Ovis aries: one gene and its partner. The protein of the gene in region 1 interacts with the protein of each later gene in a biochemical or structural test. Links are inferred from orthologs where the notes say so. Each region holds a gene or a part of one and is shown on either strand. Other genes may lie near its edges.

Evidence for each region.
Region 2: the proteins of KDM5C (region 1) and histone H3 form a complex in vitro, tested with the Homo sapiens proteins (3 studies listed by BioGRID, with this or other methods). The link is inferred for Ovis aries from reciprocal best matches to the Homo sapiens genes KDM5C and H3C15.

Annotation. Positions count from the first base shown.
Region 1 is NC_056080.1:51,102,619-51,106,443, reverse strand, and holds part of KDM5C (lysine-specific demethylase 5C), read left to right. Parts: intron 1-192; coding exon 193-351; intron 352-2,104; coding exon 2,105-2,224; intron 2,225-2,350; coding exon 2,351-2,509; intron 2,510-3,141; coding exon 3,142-3,323; intron 3,324-3,409; coding exon 3,410-3,572; intron 3,573-3,825. UniProt on the Homo sapiens protein: Histone demethylase that specifically demethylates 'Lys-4' of histone H3, thereby playing a central role in histone code. Does not demethylate histone H3 'Lys-9', H3 'Lys-27', H3 'Lys-36', H3 'Lys-79' or H4 'Lys-20'.
Region 2 is NC_056054.1:99,937,304-99,939,734, reverse strand, and holds histone H3, read left to right. Parts: upstream 1-1,429; 5' UTR 1,430-1,446; coding exon 1,447-1,857; 3' UTR 1,858-1,907; downstream 1,908-2,431. UniProt on the Homo sapiens protein: Core component of nucleosome. Nucleosomes wrap and compact DNA into chromatin, limiting DNA accessibility to the cellular machineries which require DNA as a template.

The DNA of each region.
Region 1 (3,825 bases):
AGATTCTTGCTTGCAGTTTAACTCCTGACCTAGCATGACTAACCTGTACAAGGCCATGAATGATCCAGCCATCAAGCACGGTGGGTTTCTAACAGAGATCTCTGTGGACTAGGATACTGTCTGGAGGAGTATTATGTTTGAAAGGCTGGACGGGGCTTGGGTTGATGAACTGTTGCCTCCCTCCCCTGGCAGATTGAGTCATATGTGTGCCGAATGTGTTCCCGAGGGGATGAGGATGACAAGCTCCTGCTGTGTGATGGCTGTGATGACAACTACCACATCTTCTGCTTGTTGCCTCCTTTGCCTGAGATTCCCAAGGGTGTCTGGCGGTGTCCAAAGTGTGTCATGGCGGTAAGGACTTCCCAGCCCCAATCTATGTCTGCCTCATAGGCTGTCCTTGCCTTCCTTCATCTGGTCTTACTGAAAGCAGCCTCCTAGCTCAGCCACAGTCTTATGTTTTGGGTCCCTGAGGTTGGTCTAGGTTGGGCAGAGCTTTGGGAGAAAGAAGAGGAGGGCATTCAGCCTGTGTTCTCTGGAAGCTCTCAGACCACCTGGGGAGTTGAGGTTCATAATTAGATTGTATATGATGACATATAATCAAATGTTAAATTGTGTGTTAGAAATTCAGATGTAGAAGTTCAGAGGAGAGGAAAGTGACTAAGAGTAGTAATCAGGGAAGGTGTCAGCAATTAGATTTGGAGGACAGGAATATGAAGAAAAAAATGTTCTTTTGATTTCCAAGTTTTTTATTTTTTATTTCTTTTTGAAAGCTTGGAAAATAGACAAATTACCTATCATCTTACCACCTAGAGATAACCATTGTTAATAGTCTGGTGTATTTTCTTCTCATCTTTTCGTTGTTGGGTATATATAACTAACAGGTCTGGGATCATACTGTGTACTTTCATTTGTTACTTTATAATCATTTTTCTGTATTATTTATTCATGGGTATGATTTCTTGTAAAGGGTTCATCATGTGGGTATAATATTTATTATTTTCCTTCTGTTGTGATAATTAAATTGGTTTGCCCTGTTGTAGACTTCAGTTACAAGCATTGGGCAGACTTTCTAGACTGGGGGATGAAGGAGTTCAGGAGTAAGGATATGTGGGGATAACATACCTAGTGCAAGAGAGGCAGTGAGGAGAACACCTGAAGCAGCCGTGAGGGCTAAGAGGCCTGGTAAGTCTGCCAGTTTCATTTCATGAGCCTTTTACCTTAATCCAAATTCTGGGTTGCTCGTCTACATCTTTCCCTGGGTTTCTGGGAGAGTAGATGTTGATAGTCTCTCACCCTGTCAGCTGTGGTCATAGAGTCCAGGTATGCATGTGCACGCGGATACACACACATACACACACACGAGGAAAGAGACTGGAGCAGTGTAATGCCTTGGTAGTGGTGGGGATTCCTTTAGGGAGGAGTTTGAATGCCAATAGTATCATAGACAACAAAGATTGTCAGGTCTACTTAGCTCTCTTCTTTAAGTGGTCTTGGGCTGGTAAACCAGGTTGACATTTAGATTTCAGACATGAGCAGAAGGTGCGTCTGCCTCGGGTACATACAACTCTCATCTAAAACCATGAATATAAGTACAAAATGAGTCAGACATATGTCCTGTCTTATGAGACAGTCTAAAGAACAGAAAGTGTGGAGTTTGACACTAAGGGTTGTTGTCTTTGTTTCCCATCCTCCGAGCTACTGGAATATTCAGTGTTGTTTTCCCAGGTCTGTAGTTCCAGTCTCGGCATAAAAAAGTTTCTCTAAGCATCCTGTATAAGCTCACATTTTGTCTTGAAAGAAAGATAGTGACGGAAGAGCATGGCGTAGCATATTAAATCAGAGCCCATGGTTTAGATAGTCAAGTCCTGAAGGAAGAGAAGATGAAAGCATGGTAGAAGTGCATGTGAGGAATGAAGAGACTTAACTGCACTGAAGTGCTAGGAGAAAAAGATAGAGCTATGATGTGAGACCTGCCTCAGGGGCCTTCAGTACAAACCTAGGGCTGTTCTCCTTCCCGATTTCTACCCCATATTCCAGCTCAGCTTTTGGGGATTCTCCACCTCTTTGCCTCTGCCTTGGTGACGTGTTCTCCTTTGGGTTTCAGGAGTGTAAGCGCCCCCCTGAAGCCTTTGGCTTTGAGCAGGCTACCCGGGAATACACTCTGCAGAGCTTTGGCGAGATGGCTGACTCCTTTAAAGCCGATTACTTCAACATGCCAGTACACGTAGGTGATGGAGGGCTGGGGTAGTGTCAGGGCTAGGGTCATAGGCGCCTGATGGTCTATAGCTCACCTGGGTCAGTGGGGCCAGGATGTGATGAGCCACAGTCATCAGCTACCCCTGTTCCTTAGATGGTACCCACAGAACTTGTGGAGAAGGAATTCTGGCGGCTGGTGAATAGCATTGAGGAAGATGTAACTGTTGAGTATGGGGCTGACATCCATTCCAAAGAATTTGGTAGCGGGTTCCCCGTCAGTGACAGTAAGCGACACCTAACCCCTGAGGAGGAGGTGAGTAGATGATTCATGGTTATATTCAGCTGTGTGACTTAGGCAAGTCCTTCAGTTTCTGAAAGACTCAGTATCTCTATAGGAAGGGGACTGTTATCCCTGCCGTATGTGTTGCTGTGAGATTTAGATGGGAGGATGTGTGTAAAGAGCACAGCCTAGTATCTTGCATGGCATCTCCAGCCATGAGATTGGCTATTTTTTGTCTGTAGAAAGGGAATAGTATCCATTTCGCAAATTCTATAAGAATTAAATGAGAAGGTATTTGAAGTACCTGTCAGAGTACCTGGCTCATTCATAAGACGTGTTCAGGGACTGGGATTGTTAAGTGCAGGAAATAAAGAGGCCCTAGGCCTGTATCGCAAGAAGGGTACATTTTGGTCCAGAGCAGGGGCTTTTAACTGGCAGGTACTTTGGCGAGTGGGCACATCTGTAAACTTTCCTAAAATTGAAGTAAGGTGAAGTGAATTGAAATTTTTTCTATGCATTTGAGGGAGGCAGGGGGAAGAACATCTGTAGTATTTTTTAGACATTTCAGAAAGGTCTATGACCTCAAAATTAAGGTTCCCTGGGCTAAAGAACTCAGCACCTTAGCAAAACTCTCATCTCTTTTCCACAAATACCTGACCTATCAGGAGTATGCTACGAGTGGTTGGAACCTGAATGTGATGCCAGTGTTGGAACAGTCTGTACTGTGCCACATCAATGCAGATATCTCTGGCATGAAGGTGCCCTGGCTGTATGTGGGCATGGTCTTCTCAGCCTTTTGTTGGCATATTGAGGATCACTGGAGTTACTCCATTAACTACCTCCACTGGTGAGTGGGGTCCTGGGCAGCCAAGGAAGCATTCAGGGTGGGCTCTTTGAGTGCCCACTCTACGTGTCCCCTTTCTTTTTGGCCAGGGGTGAGCCGAAGACCTGGTATGGGGTACCCTCACTTGCAGCAGAACATTTGGAAGAGGTGATGAAGAAGCTGACACCTGAGCTCTTTGATAGCCAGCCTGACCTTCTGCACCAACTTGTTACCCTCATGAATCCCAACACCCTCATGTCCCATGGTGTGCCGGTGAGTGCCTAGGAAATGGGCAAGGAATAGGAATGAGTTAGTGATGTCCCGTATGGTGGTGGTGGTGGTCATTGTCTAGAATATACCCCCATGCCTTTCTCATTCTTATTCTCTCTTAATCAGACTGTAGGTTTGATGGAAATAATAGTGGTTAGAGATACAGTGTGATGGTGAGCCTCCTGGGCCAGATGTTTTGGGGCAACACCTTAAGGGTGGATTCCACCAGTAGAAGAGGGAAATGAAGGAAGGACTG
Region 2 (2,431 bases), on another chromosome or scaffold:
GGCCTTGTCACTTATCCAGGATGAGCCATAACATCTGAGACTCAGTTTCTTTATCTGTAAAATGAGTTAAATAACATCTATTTCACAGAGTTGGAATTAAATAATATACATATAAAATTTTAAAATACTGAGCGGTGCTCTGTATCTACAAGACGTTATTACAAAATAACCACAGGATATGGTAACAGTTGTTCATATCACCAACACTTTCTCACTGATGTTTTAGATCTTCTCCCTATGGCAGGCGATTGCTGCTGCCTAAGGAGACGTCTAATATGAATCAGCATTCTGTTATTAAAGGTGACTTCTAAGGCAACCATATATCACAGATACTGTCTACCTTGTGTTTAACGTTCAGGAAAAACTCTCAAAATCACTTTTAACTTCAGGAAAGTGATCATCATACCTTGGAGCTATGTTTTGAGCCTCTTGGGCCTAATTTTATTCTCAGGTTTGAGTTTTTATATGGGATGTTGTTCCAATCAAATAAGCATATTTTAAATATATTTGTTAGTTATTAAAATTTTAAGCATTGGTAACCTTACATAACTTTTGTTTTATTATATGTAATTTTCTGAGAAATTCTTCAAAGCACAGGAAACAAAAGGCAAAAGATCTTAAATTTCTGTATAAAGAATATAAAAGATTTGAAACTGTAAGCATTAGGAAACACTTTATTGAAAATATGCTAGCAACTCAGTAATCAACGAATAATTTATGTGCTTTGATCCTTGAACGTTAAATGACTAATAAGCAACTTGACTATTTAAAACTATTCACTATTGTAAGGGAGAAATTAATATTTCCGGTGTTATTTTCCCTTACTTAAAGCGTTTTGTCCATAGGACCTAATTATGCATTGATGGATTGAGGAGAAAACCGCACTCGGGGGATGGGGGGAGGCAGACGGCTCTGAGTTGGTAAGCATCAGCACACAATTTTGGTGTAGTTCCGAACCGGGTAAAGGTTAAGTTTAATTTCCGGTTCCTTCAACTACATATTGTTTTGTTGAACCTCAGTCGTAATGTAGCTCTCGCTTAGCTCAATATCAGGAGCTAAATAAATGTTAGTTATGGGAGAGGAGTTACAATAACTAGTAAGTGGAAATGCAGGCTGAAACCTAGGGCGTGCTTGTATTCTTAAAGAACTTGCTAAAATATAAATCCCAAGCGTGCAAAAATACTTCATAGATTGTTCTTACGAAAGTTAACAGCAATATAAAGAAAAGGGCTTAAAAAAAATGTGATAAGATTATAGAAAAGGACTGGAAAATGGAGGTTGTAAGTAAAGAAACTAGCATTACAATCTTCTGCCCAAATAGGATTGAATTCTAACCAATGAGATTACAATTTCGGAAATTGCTAGCTTTTCTGGTCCAATCAAGACTAGGCTACGTCTATAAATGAGACTGCCTAGGGGGTCGGTGAATAAAACCTGTGAGATACTATGGCGCGTACGAAGCAGACTGCCCGCAAGTCGACCGGTGGCAAGGCGCCGCGGAAGCAGCTGGCCACCAAGGCGGCTCGCAAGAGCGCGCCGGCCACGGGCGGCGTCAAGAAGCCGCATCGCTACCGGCCGGGCACCGTGGCCCTGCGGGAGATCCGGCGCTACCAGAAGTCGACCGAGCTGCTGATCCGCAAGCTGCCGTTCCAGCGGCTGGTGCGCGAGATCGCGCAGGACTTTAAGACCGATTTGCGCTTCCAGAGCTCGGCCGTGATGGCGCTGCAGGAGGCGAGCGAGGCCTACCTGGTGGGGCTGTTTGAAGACACGAACCTGTGCGCCATCCACGCCAAGCGCGTGACCATCATGCCCAAAGACATCCAGCTGGCTCGCCGCATCCGCGGGGAGCGGGCTTAAGGCGTACTTTTAAAAACAGACGATCTAAAGGCTCTTTTCAGAGCCACCCACGTTTTCTTAAAAAGCAGCTGTACCAGCTTTCACTTTAGTCGGTGAACTCTTAATGCACGAGTGTTACGGGCAAAGCGGGTAGGAGAGTTTAACACGCGTAGAGTGGTGAGGTTATGGAATTAAAGCTGACAGACACTAGAGGGAGCCCCAGAAGCAAGGTCTGGGTCGTTTTTAACTGCGCTTACAAGCTGGTTTTCTTTCTTAATGCAGAGCTCCAACCTAGCCTTATTTTTTTTTGGAGAACCTAACCATTGCTGAGAAAACTTTGCAAGAAGCTAAATTCTCTGCTATTCGTTTTTAGCGCTTTCCAAGCTGCTAGTACAAAACGTTAGCACAAATCTGAATACTGAAGAAGGCCGTCATTATGTGATAACTGTAATCGGTTTCAGCTCAATTCTACAGTTACTAGAATTAGGCCAGATGTTAGATAAAATCCTCGGTCCCCAAGTAGTTTCTCGGTACTTCAACTGTTAAGAATGGGGACAAGAATCCCGAGATACGTAGGATCCCATCTTCCTAACTG